Canis lupus familiaris: one gene and its partners. The protein of the gene in region 2 purifies or fractionates together with the protein of the main gene of each other region. This does not show direct contact. Links are inferred from orthologs where the notes say so. Each region holds a gene or a part of one and is shown on either strand. Other genes may lie near its edges.

Region 1 (7,849 bases), on a different chromosome or scaffold from region 2:
TAACCAGAAAGTGAGCTACAGGGGATCCCTGGGTGGCTCAGTGGTTTGGCGCCTGCCTTTGGCCCAGGGCATGATCCAGGAGTCCCGAAATCAAGTCCCGCGTCAGGCTCCCGGCATGGAGCCTGCTTCTCCCTCTGCCTGTGTCTCTGCCTCTCTTTCTCTCTATGTCTATCGTAAATAAATAAATAAAATATTTTTTTAAAAAAGTGAGCTACATAGGGTATATTTAATTTTCTTCCCTACTATCTTTTCTTTTTTTTTTTTCCTTTTTTCTTTGTTAAGCCTACCTGAGGAAGAATGATAATTTAGGAATCAAATTGCCTCCCAGTAACATAGAGTTTACACCCCATGTATGTTTACCATTACATAATGTTTTTTCTAAGTTTCGGGATGACTGGGTAGTTCAGCAGTTGAGCATCTGCTTTGGGCTCAGGGTGTGATCCCAAGATCCAGGATCGAGTTCCGCATCGGGCTTCTTGCGGAAGCCTGCTTCTCCCTCTGCCTGTGTCTCTCATGAATAAATTAACAAAATCTTTAAAAATATATATATATTTTTCTAAGTTTCACATAGCTAGTGAGTGGCAACTAATAGGCCCTATGACATTTTGTTGATTTGATATGCTGTGATAGGTTTGTTACTCCTCATTTATCAGGTGTTTCAATTTACTTCCACTATTGCAAACATGTTGACTCAGTGCTTAGACATGGGCCCCACAGCAGCTGGAATTACTTTTAGCTATAAAAAGTATATCATATTTTTTATATCATGTCATTTGACCTATATATTATCTGACCTACATCAGATAAATGAGTATCTCCACAACTGGAATAGTAGTGAAGCCTTTGAGTTTTTCCCTCTTAAATTGTTTAGGGACCCTGAGCATGATATATTTCACTGCTTTAAGCATGAGGGTAATTATGGTCAGCTATGACACAAGAAACTTGTTTATGCTCAGAACATACACACGCTCAGAACAAATGAGGGTACACAGAATTTAAGAACATTGCAATTTACTTATATTTGTTAATTACAACACTCAACAATCAGGTATCTCCTTTTCCTTCCTAGTTTAAAAAAAAAAAAAAGGTCTCTATCAATTTAAGTTCGTTTTCCTAACAGAAACAAGATCTAATATATATTGAACAAATGCCATTTGCCAAACATTGTTTTATATGCTTTAAATGCATACTACATTACTTAATGCCTCTTGTATCTTGCAGTCATACTGAGAAAGAAAAGTAACAAACACTAGTGGGCTTCAAATTAAGAAATATATTAATTTTCTTAACACAGTCTTAAAGACACCTATGGATTAATATTCCATATCTTGCTACAATAGTATAGTAGCAACTCTGATAAGAACACTTTTTATTCACATGGCACCTATGAATAAATGTTATGTAAACTATAATGTACATAGCATTTTCAAATTTCATTTATCACTTGTGAAGAAGGAATTATTATTCTATAAAGTGTAAAGAGAGATTCAGAGATGAAACTTCACAGATGATAAGTGGCACAGATGGAAGTAGAATTCAGGTGTTCTGAGCCAATTGTATTCCTTCTATTGTGGGGAATGGAAATGCAAGAAAGTTTACACCTCCAGAAGGTTTGAAAAGTACAGACATGGACTCTGCTGGGCATGTGCTACTGCTCACAGAGAAAATATCTCCAGACAAGAATGAGCTCCAATCTTTGTATTAAACAGTATTTCAGTTTTAAGAGCTTGAATCTTCACTGGTGAAGCACTTAGGGGAGGATCACAGGATTTAATAAAAATTGCTGATTTGACTGGAAAGAATAATGTGTACTATTCTTTAATTACTGGACTTGAAATCCCTTCTCATAGCACCTTAAACTGTTTATGCTTCCAAATATATAGTTATTATATGCTTATAAGCAATAAAGAATATTAGGAAATATATTAGGAATACAGTAAATATAGACTATTTTGTATCTTCTTAAGTAAACCATAAATGTGTAAAAAGTAGGGACAGTCTTTGAGCACATCATTCATACTAGGCAGCCAATAGCTTGGCAAATATGCAAATATACTAGAAACTGAAAGTTAAGTACAAAAGCCCAAAAACTTTATGAACACAAACATTTTTTTTAAAAAAACCCAAACCCCCAAAACCCTATAGCTTTCTTTTATCAAATGCACACATATTAACTATTGAGAGGCACTGATCTTAAGAATTTATTTCAAACTCTTAATTTCCTTGGAAATTACTACTCCTTTACATCATCCTGTCATCATCTGATAAGGAAGCACACACACTGGCATCCAAGGAAATCCAACAACATCATCTTCCAGAAATTTCAACAGAATGTTAATGCAGGCATATTAAAAAGATTTTGCTCTTGGTAATTATTTATAAGTCAAGGGTAAGAAGAAAATAGATACACTTAATAGTATCATTAAAACTCACTGAGCAAAGGAAAATCTAGGGAGGATAAAGTTTAAAAGGAATGCCGAATTACTGGCACACATATATTTGGAAAACTATTTAATTTTTCACTGATAGGTCAGCCTTTGCATTCTCCATCTTCATTTTAAAAGAAATTAAACTGTACTCCAACAGCATAATTCTTCAACAACTCCCATAATTTTCTGAAGAGTTTAAACTTTTCCTGATGTGGTCAACCTTACAGTAAAGATAAGCTGAAATATTCTAATAGTAAGAGCTTGCTCAAAAATGACCTCAACTGGATGGAGATATTATCAGTTTTAGTGCTGAAGTTTCCAAAAATAACAAACAAACAAACATGGTCGTAACACATAACTGAAATAGTTTAGCAGATAAGGTCAATCATTTCCAAGGCAATCACATAAAACTTTAAGAGTTCTTTTTTTGTATTTAACAGTGCTACCATCAATATAAAAGATTTTTAAGTTTAAATAAGTCCCACATGAGGTTTAAAAAAAAAATGAATCAAACATAAGCTTCTATTTTATCATCTGAACACATTCAAGATTTGTATCAAAAAAAAAGATTTGTATCTCTTGCTTTCATCTTCAAATTGTGTAGTTTTATGACACAAGCAAATGAAAATTCTAACCAATTTAAAGCTCTCAATACAATTCTGCTCTAAATAGTTCTAATAATATTTATTTTTATGAGAATATAATAATTCTATTTTCTAATTCTCAACTTTCTCATGAGGAAATTATTTGATTATATCTCCTCTAAATCTCATTTAACTTGCAAAAGTATATCAGTGGAGATAAGGGTTAAAAAACAAAATGAAACAAAATGATACAAAACACTTTTACATAGGCTCCAAAGTAGAATTCAAGAATATAACATAAAGGGGAAAAATTCCTTAATTTAAACAATGTATTCTTTACTATTATTTACTATCATTCATTGAAAAAGGATTTCTGAAGCAGTGTTTATCACTTTAAAAACTGTACAAAGTGGGATCCCTGGGTGGCGCAGCGGTTTAGCGCCTGCCTTTGGCCCAGGGCACGATCCTGGAGACCCGGGATCGAATCCCACATCAGGCTCCCGGCGCATGGAGCCTGCTTCTCCCTCTGCCTGTGTCTCTGCCTCTCTCTCCTCTCTCTCTCTCTCTCTGTGACTATCATTAAAAAAAAATAAAAATTTAAAAAAATAAAAAATAAAAAAATAAAAACTGTACAAATTCATTTTATAATGATCAAATAGAATGGTTTATCTTATTATAAAACAGAAATAATTAAAATTCCAATAGTAACTAAAATTGAGCCATCCCTTCTTTATCCCCTTATTCATCACAATATACCTTCTCTTACTGGCTCATTGGTTGATTCTCCTTTCAGACTCAGCATCCTGGAGAAGCCATTGGAAAGAGTAGAGAAAATGCCACGGATGAAATATCCCTGCTGTTCAGACTCCTCTGACCTTCCTGTAGTCGGCCATGATCTAACAAATCTGATACTGCAGCGAGGTTCTGGCTCTGAAATAGATCTGGTGAATGGAACCCGAAGTGACCGGGTGTTGACCAGGTTCAGCTTCTCTGTTGGTGCTCCAAGGACCTCAATAGCAGAGGAAGAAGCATTACTACCAACCATCTCTGGCAGGACCTTTTGTTGCCGTTCATCCAAGTCTCTTTTATTAGTCTGTAACCTCTCCCTTTTGCCCCCTTTCCACCTACAGCTGGGATGTGTTTGCCACCGATAAGCACCCAGTGGCTTTCCTAGACTGGAAACAGCATGTTCATTTTTCTTCCTCTTGATTTTCACTGGACCACGCCATGGATAACTCTTTAAGCTTATTCCTATCTCTGATTTTGCATAAGCAGGTTCTGACAAAGATCTTCGATAGCTTGGAGGACAAGGTGATGTCTGTCTCTTAAAGATGCTCATCTTCCACGACTCCATTTTTTAACAACTTCTCTTAACTTTAAGTTTCCTCTACTCTGCAGTCTTTGCAGTTGAACCACACTTGTCCGTGCAGTCCAAAATATTCAACTGCTTAAGCAGCTTTCTTTGTGTGGCTTTGAACCACAGCAGATGTTGCTGCTTAAGAGCTGGTGTCATGTTATTACCCCATTTTCCCAGATCTCCGAAATTTTAGCAGCACCCAAAACTCTCTTGCCTGCAGCAAAGAATCTTCAGAGTGCAACAAAAGCAAAGATTTCCAGAAGATCATCTCGCTTCCTGCTGTAGGTTACATTTCTGTGCTAAGTTTTCAGGAAATGATTTTAAAGAAAATAAGAAGTGAAATAAAAACGGCAAAAAAAACCCACAAACACCTTTGTAGACCAATAGCAGTTAAGTGTTCACCATGCAAATGATAGTGGGTTAAAAACAGATTGTGAAAGTAGTCAGGCTGACATCCACATTTTACGGAAGAAGAAAGAAAACTTGCCTAAGCCTGCCCTTGAAGTGACAACTCTTCAGAATAGTTTCTAAAAATATGTAGTTTAGAAATTTAATTTCAAGAAAATCATTGCTATTTACACCACCACTTCACTCAAAATTAATACTGTTTTTCAACCAATAGGTAAAGTCATACACTGTTTTACTCAAGCAGACAGTGCAAGGACAAGTCAAGATGGCCAAAAAAATGCCAAAATTTAAAGCCATCTTAAATGTAGATAAATATAGTAGGGAGAATTTTAAAAGCATAAATGGACAGAAAAGAAAACGGGGACAGAGGATATTTACTATGAACTGCAGCAAAGGAAAAGCAAAGTCTTGAGGCAATATCTTGTGGGAACCAGAACACAGGAACATATATACTAAATGACTTCTAAAAGGGAAAGTTTCCTTTGTAAATCTAATTGGGATAAGCTGTCTGGAAATACATTCCCTATCTGTTTAAACAAAGAAATTCCTTGCCTCTTCTTTGTGCTGCTTACAATTTAAAAAAAAAAAAAAAAGAGCTGACTATTTAAAATCTTCTTAAAGCAAAGTACCTTATAGTGAAACAAGATCATGAATGCCAAGTTGCCAGCTGGTTAATTTTTTTCTTCAAATGTCTGCTCATAAAACCCTAAAAACAGGGGTTTCAAATGGAAAGCCTGACAGACTTTAGGCCACCAATAAAAGAGATACAACATGATAATCAAATCACTTTACAAGTTTTAGAAAAAATAATTTCATCTGGAAAAGTAAAAACATAGTTGTAGAACACGTACAATGAAAAACCATTCTCACAGTCTCGTTACTACTATAGAAATAGGAAATTTATAGTACCTTATCTATTCTTTTAAACATATTAAAGTGTTTTAGTTATTTCCATTATCATAAGGAAATAATCCCATTTTTGTTTGTTTTTATAGGCTCCAAATTTATACATGTCTATATTAAAGAAATGCTGAAGTATTTGGCTTTCCCAAAAGCAATACACATCAAAGTAGAGTGTCTTACAATCACAAAATTTTCTCTTTAAAAAAAGCAAAAAGAAAAAAACCCCAGAAATCTGACTCTGCACAGACAAAAACAATAAACATTAAGTTCTAATCTCTATTAATGGCACATCGCACCATCTACAAAATTTATCTGTGATGAAAATAAACCTAAATGTAAAATATAAAACTATAATGCTTAGAAAATAAACCATAGACTATGTTTGTGAACTGAGGGTAGAAGATTTCTTAGAATACAAAAATGCAATAACCATGATAGGAAAATATAAACAAATAAAACTGCACAGGGCGGGGGGTGGGAGTGAATGGGTGACGGGCACTGGGGGTTATTCTGTATGTTAGTAAATTGAACACCAATAAAAAATAAATTAAAAATAAATAAATAAATAAATAAATAAATAAATAAATAAATAAATAAATAAAACTGCACAAAAACCAAAAGTGTCTGTTCAGTAGAAGACATTATAAAATCAATAAGTCACAAAATGGGAGAAAATATTCACAATTCAATTATCTTCTGCTTTGTACTACAATATATAAAGAACTACAATTAGTAAAAAGAAAAAAAGAAAGAAACCTAATATTTAAAAAATAGGCAAAAAAAGTTGGACAAACCCTTCACAAAGAAATCTATATGAATGGTCAATAAGCATATGAAAAAATAATCAACCTCATTAGTAATTAGAGAAATACAAGTTAAATGTATAATGAAATATCAATCACATCCAATAGCATGGCTAACATTTAAAGACCTAACAAACAGTACAGGTGTTGGTGAGGAAGTGGAGCAACCAGAAAACTCATAATTGGTAATGGGAACATAAAATGGTTCAACTACTATGAAACAAATTTAACATTTTCCTTATAAACTGACATCTTAGGGACACCTTGGTGGCTCAGCGGTTGAGCATCTGCCTTCAGCTCAAGGCGTGATCCCAGTGTCCTGGGATCGAGTCCCACATCAGGCTCACTGCATGGAGCCTGCTTCTCCCTCTGCCTGTGTCTCTGCCTTTCTCTCTCTCTCTCTCTCTCTCTCTCTCTCTCTCTTTCTGTGTCTCTCATGAATAAATAAAATAAAATCTTAAAAAAAAAAAAACAAAAAAACCTACATCTACCCAAGACCCTGCAGTTCCACTTCACTCACAGGCATATTTACTCAAGAGAAATTAAAATACACATACTTATACTTCAATGTTCACAGCAGCTTTATTTAGAACAGACAAAAACTGGAAACAACCCAAATGCCCATCACAGTAGAATGAATAAACTAAATTGTGGTATTTTCATACAATGATGTACTACTCAGCCAGAAAAAGAATGAACTATTAACAACAACAACTAAAAAAAAAATGTGTATGAATATCCCAGATACTATGCCAACAAAAGGAACTGGACATAGAAGAGTACATACTGTATGATTCCATTTCTACAGAATTTTAAAACCAGATAAACTAATCTATGATGGGGAAAAATTTCAGAAAAACAGTTGTCAGTGGTAGAGGACGCTATTAACAGGAAAGAGGCACCAGGAAGCTTTCTGGGGTGATGAAAACTTTCTAAGTCTTGATAGAGATAGGAATATGGGTTTATGTATTTATAAAAAGCTATCCACGTACTTAAGATTTATGCATTTTGAGGGGCACCATGGTAGCTCAGTTAGGCAACTGACTTGATTTTGGCTCAGGTCAGGATCTCAGAATTGTGAGATCTTGCCCAGTACTGGCTCAGCACGGAGTGGGCTTGAGATTCTCTCCCTTCCTCTGCCTCTGCCCCTCCTCCTGCTTCTGTGCATACATGAGCTCACTCTCTCAAAATAAACTCGTAAAAAAAAAAAAAAAAAAAAAGATTTATGCATTTTCCCATAATTAAATTTTACCTTAAAAAATCGTAAGCAATACTGAACTTTTAGTTAGTAGTTTGCTTAGCCAGTGTTACAGGTTGGTGATTCTGAAACTACTTTCTGTGTATTTTATGCGTGAGGAAAGGATA
Region 2 (6,924 bases):
GCACACCACATAGTTAACAGTAGATGTGTGGTGGTAAGTTTGTGTGCTGCCTAAGGTCAAGAATTTCTAGTCAACTTAATGCCCCATGTGCCCGAGTATCTCCATGCCAGACAAAGCCCAGAACAGAATAATGCTTTGTGCCCAGGCTGAGCAGTTACTCTCTTCTATATACTAAGTATTCATCCACAGAATAGTAAAAAATATATATATATTAGGTGCTAGAGCCTAACACAAGACAAGAATCCATTCTAAAAACTTCTAGAAAGATAATTAAAATATTTCTAGTTTTAATTGTATCATTCACAAAACTGATGACACTGGAATATTTTCCTCATCTGAAACAACAATCAATATCAAAGGTTATACCTAACACAAAGAACTAGTGTTTAATCATTTTTATGCCATTATTTTTAAATGCTCTTATGTTTCAAAACTAATTAAATTTGCCTTCAGCATTTTGTTGCAGAGTTTTGGAACCAGCTCCTTTAGAATGCTCTAACAGCTTGATGGCCTTGTCAGAGTTTTCAATATTTCTAAGCAGGGTCTCTAATCTTCTCTTAATTTTCTTCTGGTCTTCAAGAGCACAGCCAATTACTATGGACTGAAACTTCTGGTCAACAGGCCCGGGTGGCACCTCAGATGAACATGCACTGTACAGGGACATCAAGTGACTCCTGGCATTTCCCAAATCATCCAGAAACTTACTGACCACCTCGTCAATAATCCTGGTGGCATGCTTTAGGGATTCTTGCTGCTGGGGGTTTCTGATTGTTTCTACTGAAACTTCAACGGTGAGGGTTCGTCCCATCAAACGGTTTGCTGTCAGATTTAATTCTTCTCTTTCTCCTAAACATGGAAAGTTTGAAATATCAATCAATACGAGACATAAACTTACCTATATTGAAAACATTTAGGCATTCATTTGTGGCTAAAGTTATTTTCTGTAAGCACCTTGGCTACAAAATTTTTAAATGTAAAAGTCAAAATTATAGCACATAAGATTAACTAATAAACTATATTATATTACGGAGAGAGGTTGCAGAATACCTTTCCCTGAAAGTCTATTTTTTATTATTTCCTTTTTTTTATTATTTCATTTTTTGAGAGAGAGGGAGAGTGAGCACATATGTGTGCAGGTGGGAAAGGGGCAGAAGGAGAGGGAGACAGACCATCTCAAGCAGGCTTCACGTGTAGCGTATGAGCCTGATGTGGGGATTGATCTCACAACCGTGAGATCATGACCTGAGCCAAAATCAAGAGTTGGAGTGCTTAATGGACTGAGCCACCCAGGCACCATTATCTGACAACTTTTATTTATTTATTTTTAATTTTTTTACTTTTTAATTTTTTATTTATGATAGTCACAGAGAGAGAGAGAGAGGCAGAGACATAGGCAGAGGGAGAAGCAGGCTCCATGCACCGGGAGCCTGACGTGGGATTCGATCCCGGGTCTCCAGGATCGTGCCGTGGGCCAAAGGCAGGCGCCAAACCACTGCGCCACCCAGGGATCCCCTCTGACAACTTTTATACATGGGATACCAGATGACTTTTCCAAGTGGGCACGTTTGAAAAAGTGTGGGCAGGTATGCATTTCTAACTCGGATGGAGATCAAGTCTTAACCTAGAGCAAATGGCGTGCATAACCAGGGTTTTGTGCTGGTTACAAGAGATCAGATGCAGTGGATCTCTTGATAAGGATGTGCATGTAGGGGAGGAAAAATAATTTTCCCTGTACCTTTCTGAGTTCTTGGCTGAGAAACCCTGTAATAAAAGACAGATTAACAAGAAAAAAAGCAGAAGCTTATTAACATGTATACTTCACATATACATAGCAGAATTTTAGGGACACTGAGATGGCCTCCCTCTCAGATGGAGAGCCCAAGCCACCACCTTAAAAACCATCTTCAGCTGAGGAGTAAGATGTTGAGGGAGGCCTTCCCCTCTTTAGTGAGGTTACCAGTAAAAGCAGGATAAACCAGGGAAGGGTTGCTTTGCCTTTGGCGTATATAAGGGTTTCTTGTGATTCACAGTTATCCTTCCTGGTACACGGAGGCAGGCACCCTTACAAATGGAAATATCCCTTATAAATGTAAACATCCCTTACAAACAAGTAACTTCTATTCTGTTTTCAGAGCTTCTCCTGTGTCTGCAGTTTCTCAAAAATAATCAGCTTGAAATAATTCTTATGCCAAAGAGGCAAAATTTGAGATGGTATATTTTGCATGGATATCAGAATACAATGCTCCAATTTTGGCTGAAAAAAACATAACCATGATGGTGGAGAAAAAGCTGGCCTCGAAATTCGGCAGTGACTCATCCTTTCCAGGGAAATTTAAGCAGGCCAGTGGTTTCTAAGTCTTGGCCAGCACAGAGAGGCAATGGTGGGAAAAAGGATCCACATTTCATTATTTACATGAAAAAGTCAGTAATCTCCTCTTTGTCCTGTTCTGTAACTCCCTTTTTTTTTTTTTTTTTTTTTTCCCTGTAACCCCCTTCTTAATTCATCAATCTTTGGCCAGGATGATGAAAAGACCGGCCAGATCTTGATCCTGCCATGTGTGTCTAACCGTGCAGGGCCTGGAGTTAGACTGTACACTCATGGCACCAGCTGTTGGACCATGAGCTTGTCTAGGGAGGCCCCGGAGCAACCAAATTAGAAAGATCACCGCCAGTGAAAGGAAATACAAGTGCCCTATTCCTCCACGGAAACTCATGCTTTTCATATAGAAATGATAGCACATTTTTACATTAATGGGGTTTTATTGGGTCCATTATTTCTTTCCCCTGGATTTTATCTCAATACCTCAACCCCTCTCGTTTGTCCTCTCTGCCATCCAGTAACTTCTGAGGAATTGAAGTCAGGACTGTAAACCTGAGGTCAAAGGCATCACCTTACTGCTTGGGACCACCTCTTCTGGAGCTTGGAGGCCTTTTTTTTTTTTTTTTTTTTTTTTTTTTAACATTTCTAACCATGCCCCTGAGGTAGGCAGCAGGCCAGAAGGGTGACCTCTGGGTAAATGGTTCTTTTTTTTTTTTTTTTTTTTTTTTTTGTAAATGGTTCTTGTAATAATAAATTGACAGCTGTTGTCCGCTACTCATGGGAAATGCTGAAGCCAAGTGTACTCATTCCTCAAGTCAAGTGAAAATGGACCCACACTTATCCTAAATCCCATGAAAGAGTGGAAAAGATGAGCTCCCTTCTGTGGAAATGCTCTCACCATCGCTGATCTGCCTCATATCCTGGCTATTCTGGATGCTGTGGATCATTTCCAGGAGGATTTCTTTCTCTTGCTCAACAGCAGTTGCGGCTTCTCTCAAGGCTTCCACCCTATATAAATTGGGAAAACAAAAGTTACCACAGGGAAGTTTCCTTTTCCTCATCTCTATTATTTGCTCCATCTCAAGTTTAAAGATCCTTAGGAACACTTTTGAAAAGTTCTTTATTCTTTTTTAAAAACTTTAAAATTTTTCGGGCAACCCTCTTGGGGCCCTCCCTCTTCGGGAGCTTTGTACCATCACTTTACTATCGCTCAATAAACTCTGCTTTGCTGCCTGTCAAAAAAATATATATTTAAAAATTTTTTCTATTGTTTTAAATCCACCCACCCCAGTCTCCTTTTCCTCCTCGCGTGTATGGCATTCTATTTAGTGTTTATCTATTTTGTATTCGTTCATAACAAAATCTGTATTTGTGTTTTCATCTATTTTCAATTTATATTTCACTGTTTCTTTTTTCACTCAGCATTTTATTAAGAACCATCCAGATTCCTATGTGAATATCTAATCAGTAGCTTCTGATTGCTGCATGATACTCCATGTATATTCACCTGATTTCACCTCCTCTCTCCCAGTGAAAATGCTTACCATGTCCCCTTACTTGTCATCAGCACAAAAAAGCACTTCAATGAATACAGGTCCCCTATGGACTTGAATGAGAACCTTCTTAGGATTTATCTCAGGGCAGAACTGCTGAGACACAGGGTATGTGCACCCACCATTTAATTCGGTACTACCACTGTTCTCCAGAATGGCCACACTAGACCACTGTTGGGAAGCAAGTATTCTTGTCCCCTCAAAGGTTCTTCTAACTGGACTAAGAATCAAATTGACATGAGACAATTTACAGGAGAAAATCCAATTTAATAGTGTACATAGGGGAATCCACATACACATGGAAATTCCAAAGACAATTAGGCAAAATGAGGTATACCTATTATTCTGAAAGAAGGAGAAGGGGGTTAATGGTCTGGGACTTCAAAGAAAAGGAACGCAGGGTGATAAGAAGAGCAGATGTTTGGTAATTAGATGTTTGCCCTGCCATACAGATGGGCCACTCAGATAAAATTTATCTCTGCTTATAACCTTTATTCTGGGAAAGACCCCTAATTTAGATTCTTCTGTGTGGTTAAGGGAGGGGCAGAAGTTTCTCCTGAGCCTGCAGGCTCTCAAGTGCCTTCAGCTCAAAAGAACCCACATGCCAAAGTGGCACATTCTGGGGGGCCCTGTCCTGAACCCCTTCACAATATTCCCAGCAGTAAAGCATTGGAATCCCTGTGTTCCCACACCCCTACCAACACTCAGCATCTTCCAATTTCCTATTTGTTGCCAGTCTACTAAGTATACAGTGATATATTCATAATTAATCTGCATGTCTTTCATTACTAATAATTTTGGACATCTCTTTGTATTCTTGTTAGCCTGTTCACAGCCTTTGCCTATTTTGTTTTTTCTTTTTTAAATGGGGGTTACTGTCCTCTTGCTGATTTGCATACTCAAAGAATTAGTCCCATGTTAGTTACAGACATTGTAATAATCTTCTTCGATCCTATCATCGATGAATTTTGCCTGGGATATTCTTCACTGAATAGATATCCTTACTTTGAAGTGATCAAATTAATATTTTCTTGGTTTTGTTTGCCTTGTGGCTTATGCTTCTGAAGGGTCTTTACATCTGAGGTCATAAGGTATTTTCCTACATTTCTTTCTATTAACTTCATTGTTTTACTTTTCTCATATTTATGGCTTAGTCCATCTAGAATCCACCTATATGTGTTTAGGTAAGGATTTTTTGTTTTATTTTTCTCCAAATAGTGAACCATTTCCAACATTATATCCACCAAAAATCCATCTTTCCTCTGACTTATACATTGTCTACTCTGAAATCTCTGTTCCATCTAGTAGTGTATCTAACTGTTCTTACACCAATATCCATTTTAAAAAAATACCAATAGCCTTGTAATATGCCTTAATATTTGGTAGAACCAGCCCTCTAATCTTCTTTAAAGATAGTTATTTAGAGTTTTAGTATTCCATATTAACTTTCGAGTAAGTTTCTTAGGTTTCTCAAAGAACTGGGGTAAATATGGCGTCTTTAGCATATTGTCATTTCGGGATGCCTGGGTGGCTCAGTGGTTGGGCATCTGCCTTTGGCTCAGGGTGTGATCTTGAGGCCCTGGGATCCAGACCCACATCGGGCTCCCTGCATGGAGCCTGCTTCTCCCTCTGCCTGTGTCTCCTCTCTCTCTGTGTCTCTCATGAATAAATAAATAGAATCTTTACAAAAAAGATAGAATATTGTCATTTCACCCATCTATATATTCAGATCATCTTCCATATTCTTTATTAGAATTTTGAAGTAGTCTTTTTTTTTTTAAGATTTTATGTATTTATTTTGAGAGAGACAGAGAGGCAGCACACAAGCAAGGGGGGAGCAAGAAAGGGAGAAGCAGACTCCCCCCTGAGCATGGAGCCTGACATGGGGTTCCATTTCAGGACCCTGGGATCATGACTTGAGCTGGGCAGATGCTTAACTGACTGAGCCACTCAGGTGCCCTGAAGTTTTCTTAATAGTCTTTGTGGACGCTTTTGAGAGCTTTGATCCTTTGTGGATACTGTTATTGTAAATAATACATTTTATTTATTATAATTATCTTTAATGTTTTTATTTTTTTAAAGTTTTTTGAAAAGTAATCTCTACACCCAATGTGGGACTCAAGCTCATGACTCCAAGATCAAAAGTTGCATGCTCTTCAGACTGAGCAAACCAGCTGCCCTATTTTAAATTATAATTTCTCACTTGTTATTGCTGGTTAGGAAAACAGAAAATGCTGTTTTTTGTAAGGTTCATCTTGTAATTGGTAACAGATTTATTAATTTTAATTTGTCTTTTTAAAAATATTTTATTTATTTATTCAGGGAAGACAGAGAGAGAGAGAGAGAGAGAGAGAGAGAGAGAGAGGCAGAGACACAGGCAGAGGGAGAAGCAGGCTCCATGCAGGGAGCCTGACGTGGGACTTGATCCCGGGTCTCCAGGATCAGGCCCTGGGCTGAAGGCAGCGCTAAATTGCTGAGCCACCCGGGCTGTCCAATGATTTGTCTTTTGATTCTTCTAGATTGATGATCATATAATCTACACAAAATGACAGATTTAATCTCTTCCTTTTAAATCTTACTAGCTTATATCTCTTTATAGTATTGACTAAAGTCCTCTGTTACTTTATTACACAGTGGTGATGAGAGAGGGCGTCTTTGTCTTTTCCTGAATTTAAAGGAAATGCCTGTGTAGGTTTTTGGTCTAAAGCCCGTATCAAACTACAGAAGCACTACTTTCCCTAACTCCCTCAAGTATAAACACACATGAACTTAACTACACATACACATGAACACAGTCACTAAAGAACAAAATTGTGGAATCATGAAAGCAAGAGAAAGGAAAATCCTGTATATTTAAAGTGCTTTGTTTTCAGGGCACTTCTTGTTATATGTTATCCCATAAATAAGTTGCCAACTTTTCCTAAATGAACACTGACAGACTTACCCTTAGTATTCAGATAGCCTTAGAAATATGAGATCATGGAAGATCTAATCCTGATTGCTGCCATAAGTGGGCACAGAAGGAACAACTTCACTAATGTTTGAGCACAT
Region 3 (7,978 bases), on a different chromosome or scaffold from region 2:
AGCAGGCGAGGTAAAACCGAACAGGGTAAAGATCAAAAGTAAAACAAGAATCCCACTTGGTCTTTTTTCCATTCTCCTTTATTCCATAAACACCTAGTTACAAGTTGCACGAATCAAAAAATAAAGGCAGAGAAGGGTGTGGGGAAGATTTCTGTGATGTGCAGGGGGTGGGTAGGGAGGAAGGGTGGGGAGCCAGTCCTCTCCCTCCACACAGCCCTAGATGAGGGCTATGGACCCTGCAGCAGGGGATCTGAGGTGGAGGTGGGCAAAGATCCAGGGTGGGTGAAGGATGGAGTAAGCCCCTAAACCCAGAGCTCACCCCCAAAGCCCCTCCAATGCATGGCAAGGGTAGAATGGGGCAGGTAAGGAGATTCAAAGATGGAGCAGCAGAATGAAAAATCAAGTTAGCAGACACAGGAGAAATGGAGTCATCGTGGTAGGGGATTAAAGAAGGAGAAAGTAGGTAAACGGGGCAATGAAAGGTCCTCCCTGAGACCCCCAGGGAGAGGTGGGGGCCAGCTTGCCTGTTAATTTAATATTAAACTGGGAGTGGGAGTTGGAAAGGAAAATGTTATTTCAGGGGATGATTCTTCAGCCTCTCAGCCTGTACCTGGAAGAGGAAGAGAGAAGAGCACAAGTCAAAACAAAGACAAAAGCCGGGAGTTGGGTTTAATCCCCTGTTCCAGCGAGAGCATTCTTCTTTCCACACCAGTGAAAACTTGTACCACTAAAGGCAACACCTCCCTGCAGAGGAAGGTGCACAGGTCGGCTCCTCCACCCCCTTCCGTGCTCTACACCTTACAAGTCTCCCCCTCGGTACTTACAGGAGAGGCTGAAGGCCTAGGGCCCTCACCAGTCATAGCGGCGGGACTGTCGGGAGGGGGAATCCTCGGGGCCCTGGATAGCCAGGCGGGGCGGCCCCTCAGCCCTTCGTCCCCCACCACCTGAAGCCTCATGCCTCCGAAATTCCAGGGGGCGCTGCTGCCGGAATCGGGATGTCTCCCTCCGCCATTCATCATCGAATGCTGCGGCTTCACCTGAGGAGCACAGAGACCAGGCGTGACACTTACTAAACGCACAGGCTGGCTTCTGGAATCAAGTGCCAAGAGTGAGCCATGGCCTTCTCAGGTGAAGAAACAGGGCAAAGGCTGAAAGTGTTATGTTGTGGGGGGGATATGTTGAGGGGGAGCAGCATAAAGAAAAATTTCTTTTCTCCCTAACTCAGGGTTCAATATGGTTCTGCTAGCTGAGAGCCCATAGCTATCCTAATATGGAAGCCACCAACAAGCCCAAGATAGGGCTACTGAAGAAGGATATCAGGAAGGGGATATTATTAAGTTAAGGAGCATAGTCCCATGTACACATTTATCAAGTATTTGATGAATATTTGTTGACTTGGAAAAAAAAGGGGGAGGAGAAAGGAAAGAACTGACCCTGCCAGCATCTGACTTAGCCCCTGAAGATGACAAGGCTCAAGCGAGGTAAGAAGTGGGCCCCCCCCAATAACTTTGCCAAGAAATATCTACAGAGGTAGGGAACAAAAGTTTTTATCTCCTAGCTCACAGGAACTGGACCAGTGGCTACTGGTCCAGAGGTCAGAAGGGTGATGTGCAGGAAGGAGGCTCACTCTCATCCAGGTTGATATAATCCTGCCGCTCCTCCTGGTCCCCCGTGCGGTGGTTTCGGGAGCGCTGGAGGATGTGGGCCCGGTCTCGGATGTGGTGCCCAATGGACATCTGCTCTAGCCCACTGTCTGAGTCCCGCACGGTCCTCCGAGTCTCCCGGATCTGGGATGGGGGAGAACACAGCCCTCAGCCACCCCTTCCGAAGCCCTGGCCACACCACACCAGGACAGCAAACCACCCCCAGCCCAGTCCTGAGAAAGGAAGGCAGGGCTGCTGCCTGCAGCCTTCAGTGCTGCCTTCTCTGGGAGGTGAGAAGCTGCCCAACTCACCCCGCCTGGTGCCGAACGCATCTCTGATGTCTCCTGGTAGACCTTGGGGGCGCCATCACCCGTATTGGAGTAGGAGATGACAGTGGAGGATGAAAAGGTCTGGCAATTGCCTCCTGCTGTCATATGTTCCTGAGGAGGAAAAGGTACCACAGGACTGAATGGTCCCTCTGGAGAAGGAATCCCACACCACACTTCAGCTGCCTGTTCTTGTCCCTTTCTCACAGCACGGGGGAGCCAAGAAAATGTCAGGACTCATCAGTAACCCCCAAATTCCTTGGAGCCCAACAATAAATAAGACGGAGCCTTAATTGCACACTTCATGAGACTGCTGCTGCTGCTTCATACTCAGGCATGAGAGCAGATAAGGGAACCCAGTGCTCTCCGGGCTCCATGACTTTATCTAGCTCCAGCCCTTCCTTCACCAGCACACTCTTCCCTGTTCCTGCCTCAAAGGACTCAAGGTGTTGCCAGCTATCACCGAGAACAAGAGTACAAAAGCATATGGGGTAAGAGCCTCACCATGTTCCCAATCATGTCATTCATCATTCCAAACATGTCCATGAAGCCACCCGACTGCAGCAAAGAGATGGAAAACAGAGTCAGGAAAGCACAGTCAGAACTCAGATTATCTTTAGGTACCCGCTAGACAGACACGTGGCTACACATTCCCTTTCTCTTCTTCACATGGAGCCACTGCTCTGTCTCTTCCTCAGCGCGACCAGAACAGGGGGTGTTCCCCTTCACATCTCCCTCCCTGCGCATGCTGCCTTCCTCCTCAGTCTCTACAGCTTCTCTGATCCAATCTGCTTTCTCCCAACTGTCCTATTTCCTCCTATCTTTAGGAAGCACACCCAAGTAAATAGATTCTAACCCACAAAAGGGTTGGGCATAAAACCATAAAAACAGCAACAGCAAACTTCTAAAAGCCATCTCGGTTGGCCCTTCGACTCCATCTCCATCCTCAGAACGACAAACTTTGCTAGGCAATTACATTTTCCTAATAGGTGTGGCTCTTAGAATGGAGGAATCAGTAAGTTAGCATCTTTAACCCACAGAACTCAGCACACAACAGACCCAGAGCTTTATGAACACTATAAAAAGATTTTAGGGTTACCCATAAGGCTGTTCCAGAGAGCCACATTTGGAAATAACATCTAAGGATATAGAGTGTGTCTGAGAATGGAAGGACACGAGGACATTAGGACTCACCATTCCCAGCATCCCAAAGGGGGAGACAGCCCCAGCCTACAGGAAAACATAAAGAACAAATTAAAGACCACGTCCTATGTCACTACAGTCCCAAACCAAGTGCATGGTCTCAGCTTTTTTTTTTTTCTTCCATCCTCCTCTCAAAAGGGGATCACAAAGCCCTTTTGCCAGACCCCTTCCCCAACTCCTAAAAATGATCATTCCACTTGCTAAGTTGGCTGAAGTGCAAGAGAAATCAAGGACTTTATTAGCCACCCTCCAGCATTTCCTTGGGTGTTGGGTATGTCTCGGCATCATTACCTGCATCCTACGGCTGGCAGGCCTGGCCCCGGGCATGTTGCCATCTGTGATGCTGAGGAAGGGGCTGTATCCAAAGCCACCTGACAACATTCGGTTCATATGCTGACGGTGAATAGCAAAGGGGTCCCTGTGGAAGTGAGTATACAGTGTAGATGGCAGAAGGGACAGTCAACACCTTCCTCCCCCACAAAAAAGAAAAGTCCAAGGGAGAAGGTGGCACAGATGCCTATTTCCTCCCCTAAGCTGGAGCTGAAGCAGAGTATCCAGCTAGTTCCAACCAATGCCAGCAATGGGAACCCAGATGTCTGTCTGAACTACTTAGAGACCCGAAGTGGAGTAGGATGAGCGCTCTAGAACAGGAGGGGGAGGGAATACTCACATCAGGAACATGGGATCCTCCGGCTCCACGTCCCTCATGAAGCGGAACATCCTGATTTTAGCTCCAGGGGGCTCCACACTGTAAAGATGTGGAGGCTCAGATACTCGGAGCCAGCCAGGCTTTTGCACACCCGGCTCAGTGTAGGGACTCTGAGAACACTGTCCCTTGCAAATGCTGTAACCGACCCCCACAAACTCCAGTGAGCCCCTTCTCCAGGCGGTGTTGGACACCACCCTCAAGGGAGATTAGGGCTCTTCAAACCTCTCGAGGAGGGCTGTGGAAAATTTTTCCCAGCCTCGCAGTTTTCTGCCTCCCCCACTCAGCCAGCCTCTCCCCGAAGCCCCGGCCAGAAGCACGCCCCCTTCCCCGACGCCACTGCTTCGGATGCGAATCTCGGGGGCCGGCCCTCGCCCCAGCAATGACCCCGGCCACCTCGCCCCCTCCTCACCCCAGCCGCAGCCGGGCCTCCCCCCGGCGGGCCTCACTATCCCCACCGCTGCCCCCGGCCCCCGGCCCCCGCCTCCCCGCCCGGCGAGCAGGAGCGGCAGGCCCGGCCCCCTCCCCTCCCCGCCTCCCAGGCTCCCAGACCCGCAGCTCCGCGGGCCCGCTCCTGCCGCCGGCTGCCCGCGCCGCTCGAGCCTCACCGGTCCCCGATCCGGGCTCAGCGGCCCATCCGGCCGGTCTCGCCTCTCTGTGCGCTGCAGGCTCGGGGGTTGCGGCCCGGGACGCGGGATTGGTCCGGGCTGGCTCTCCTCGGCCTCCCGCGCCGCCTCCTCCCACGGCTGCCACCTCCGTACCCCCCCACGGCCCGCGGAGCCCGAACCGCGGCCAGGCCCGGGCGGAAGTGACGTCACGGGGGGACGGCCCGCCCCGGGGCCGGGCCCGCGGAGCTCCGCCCACCGGCGAGCGAGGGGCTGGGGCTGGGGCCGGGGCCGCTCGGGCGGCGGGGTCCTCGGGTCTAGGGGAGGGGGCCTCATCCCCAGCTGGACTCGGGCCCTGTGGCCAGGAGGAGGCGCCCCGTGGGGGTGCGGGGAAGAGCGGGGCGCCCCGCCTCGTGAGGCTCGGGGCGGGACGGGGCGGTGCGGCACGTTCCCTGCGGGGAAGGAAGAGCCCGGGGGCAGGTGCCGGGGGGAGGGGCGGCTCCCCGCGGGCGACGACGTGGGGCGGATCCTGGGGGGAATATTAAGCAGATTTTCTCCGCCGGCGGCGTTCGGCCCGGGAGGGAGGCAGGGCAGCCGCCTCGCGGGGGAGGCGCCGCGGCCAGTCCTGTCGGGGGGAGGCGAGTTCCAAGCAGGGGCGGGGCCCTCGGGCTGACGTCGCAGGGGAGGTGACCGCTCGGCCCCTGTCTGGCTCCGGCTTCCAGAACTCGGCGGGCGGGAGAGAATGCGGGGTGGGCGGGCCGGCCGCCAGGTGGCGCTCCTCGGCCGGTCTGGAACGGCGGGGCTTCGGGAGCTGCCGTTGGCCCTGCTCCCGGACCCTCGGTTCCTCCGCGCGCAGGGTCGGCCTGGGCAAAGGTTGTCGTTCTGAAATCGTTTCGTGGAATGCCGGTTTCTCCCCTTGCTTTTCTCTCACTGCTGTGTTCCCAGGAGCTCCCAGTCCCGCTCTGATCTTTCCTGCCTCTAGTCAGGTAGGTGGGTCGAGGGTCTAAAGTTTGGGAGAAGGAAGGGGTGCAGAGCTCCGTTAACCAGGATCACCCAGGGGCGGAGCTGGAATCAGACCCAGAAGGCCAGGGCCAAAGACTGAAACTTTGACATACTAAATGTCTTGCATAAAATCTGGCCCAACTGGAGAGAAGGGCCCTCCCCCAGGGTGTCAGGAGAATTTGGACGGTCTACGATGGACTTTAAACCAGACTCATCCAAACTCTAGCTCTCCCTGGTTCTTTACTCTGGCTGCTAGCCATATTAGCGCTCTGTGGAGCCCAACAATGCCAAAGACTTGTTCCCAATACTTCCCTAGGGGTGAAGGAGGACGGGGGTCCCAGGTGACTCAGGAAAAGGTACCGGGAGCAGGGCTTCTCAGGTTTCTTGGGACGCGATCATTATTAGTGAGGGAAAAACAATAGTGGAGACAGAGGGGAACAGTGATAATTTGGAAGCTGCCGGGCTGGCAAAACCAAAGAAAGATAAAGACAGGATAAAAGAAAATTTGCTTTTCGTTGATATTTCTGGGGGAAGAGACTTAGTCAAGTCTTTTAAATTTTTTCTCCAGATCCTTTATCTCTGGACATTCCACTCTGCATCTGCCCCTTTTCCTTTTGCCTCTAAGGCAGTTGACATGTGATCAGGTTTTCTCTCAGAGTTCTGTGGCCCAGACTCAACTAAGTGTGATTCCTCACCTTCCAGCTTCTCCCTTCTCATTCCATTATGTCCAACCTTCACCAAATTGGGTAGGAGATAAAACTCAGCTTCTGGCCTCCTCCTTTTTTCTTTTTCCATTGCCTGGTGCTGTCTACCTACTGCTTTTAGGGACCTAGAAACCTTTATTTTATTTTTTTTAAGATTTTATTTATTATTTATTCATGATAGACATAGAGAGAGAGAGAGAGGCAGAGAGACAGGCAGAGGGAGAAGCAGGCTCCATGCAGGGAGCCCGATGCAGGACTCGATTCTGGGTCTCCAGGATCACGCCCTCGGCTGAAGGCAGCGCTAAATCACTGAGCCATCCCGGGGCTGCCCCCTAGAAGCCTTTCTTCTCTTCCTTGGAAAACCAAAGAATCAGATACCAGTCATATTTACCTTTGCCTGATTTTAAATCAGTGTATTACCTGTCCTAGGAGAATTTACAAATTACAGCTTAGCTTCGAACTAGAAGGGAAAGCTCCAAACCTGGGCTTTGTCTGAGGTTAAAAAGAAATTCTTGACTGGGTGGGGATGAAGAAGGAAGTGCAAGAGCTCATTTTCAGAGTCCCCAGAGACATAGCACAAAGTCAACCATCCACTCCAAAAATGGAAGGAATATAATTTTACGAGTAACCTTTATGTCCCTCACAACCAGAGTTTGTGTCTGTCTCCCTTTCTCTCTTGCCTTCCGTCCCTTCCATTTCCTGTCTCTCTCTCCCGTTCTTCCTTCTTTCCTTCCTTGTCCGGTGAACTCTGAAGAACAAAAATTTCTCAGTCACTGGAGTGTCCCGTATATGAGAAGATGTAGGATGGCAAGTGAGCCCTGCCAGGAGTGAGGTTTAACACAAGGAGGATAGGATTTGGGGAAGGAAGAGGAACAATGTGTTTCTTACGTGTTCACTGCTCTATCTGATGGAGCCAAAGTCAGAAAGTCCTTGTGAGAGTAGAGCTGGGCCAGAAGATGAACCCTCTTTTATTTTTTTTTTATAAATTTATTTTTTATTGGTGTTCAATTTGCCAACATATAGAATAACTCCCAGTGCTCATCCCATCAAGTGCCCCCCTCAGTGCCCGCCACCCAGTCACCCCCACCCCCCTGCCCACCTCCCCTTCCACCACTCCTAGTTCGTTTCCCAGAGTTAGGAGTCTTTCATGTTCTGTCTTCCTTTCTGATATTTCCACTCATTTTTTTCTCCTTTCCCCTTTATTCCCTTTCACTATTTTTTATATTCCCCAAATGAATGAGACCATATAATGTTTATCCTTCTCCGATTGACTTATTTCACTCAGCATAATACCCTCCAGTTCCATCCATGTCAAAGCAAATGGTGGGTATTTGTCGTTTCTAATGGCTGAGGAATATTCCATTGTATACGTAGACCACATCTTCTTTATTCATCTTTCGATGGACACTGAGGCTCCTTCCATAGTTTGGCTATTGTGGACATTGCTGCTATAAACATCGGGGTGCAGGTGAGATGAACCCTCTTTAGATGTGAGGTCACACATTTAGGGCATTCCCAGGATAGTTGGATATTGGAACGGCATGAAGAAGGGGCAAAATGATGTGTGAGTTAGGGGAGACTGGATTTCCTGCCTGAGCCAAAGTGAATGGGTGTGACTGAGTGTATGTGTGTATGTAAATGGGCATAGGTATAGGGGAAGAGAGGAAAAGCCTGAAAATTAGTGCTAAGGTACCCTTAGAGTGAGCTTTACTGCGGACACCAGGTAAGTAAGATTAAAAAGTGACTTGAAGGGCACCTGGGTGGCTCAGTGGTTGAGATGCTGCCTTCG

What was found.
Region 1: the proteins of BAG2 (region 2) and RASAL2 purify together in Homo sapiens (affinity purification with mass spectrometry; 3 studies listed by BioGRID and IntAct, with this or other methods). This does not show direct contact. The link is inferred for Canis lupus familiaris from reciprocal best matches to the Homo sapiens genes BAG2 and RASAL2.
Region 3: the proteins of BAG2 (region 2) and MLF2 purify together in Homo sapiens (affinity purification with mass spectrometry; 4 studies listed by BioGRID and IntAct, with this or other methods). This does not show direct contact. The link is inferred for Canis lupus familiaris from reciprocal best matches to the Homo sapiens genes BAG2 and MLF2.

Annotation. Positions count from the first base shown.
Region 1 is NC_049228.1:21,362,541-21,370,389, forward strand, and holds the start of RASAL2 (ras GTPase-activating protein nGAP), read right to left. Parts: upstream 4,692-7,849; 5' UTR 4,368-4,691; coding exon 3,770-4,367; intron 1-3,769. UniProt on the Homo sapiens protein: Inhibitory regulator of the Ras-cyclic AMP pathway.
Region 2 is NC_049233.1:24,631,160-24,638,083, reverse strand, and holds part of BAG2 (BAG family molecular chaperone regulator 2), read right to left. Parts: intron 3,329-6,924; coding exon 3,219-3,328; intron 847-3,218; coding exon 434-846; 3' UTR 1-433. UniProt on the Homo sapiens protein: Co-chaperone for HSP70 and HSC70 chaperone proteins. Acts as a nucleotide-exchange factor (NEF) promoting the release of ADP from the HSP70 and HSC70 proteins thereby triggering client/substrate protein release.
Region 3 is NC_049248.1:7,806,722-7,814,699, forward strand, and holds MLF2 (myeloid leukemia factor 2), read right to left. Parts: upstream 4,692-7,978; 5' UTR 4,487-4,691; intron 3,921-4,486; 5' UTR 3,893-3,920; coding exon 3,843-3,892; intron 3,591-3,842; coding exon 3,464-3,590; intron 3,254-3,463; exon of another isoform or gene 3,200-3,253; coding exon 3,164-3,199; exon of another isoform or gene 2,528-3,163; coding exon 2,474-2,527; exon of another isoform or gene 2,084-2,473; coding exon 1,955-2,083; exon of another isoform or gene 1,788-1,954; coding exon 1,628-1,787; exon of another isoform or gene 1,226-1,627; intron 1,129-1,225; exon of another isoform or gene 1,038-1,128; coding exon 850-1,037; 3' UTR 825-849; exon of another isoform or gene 611-824; 3' UTR 61-610; downstream 1-60.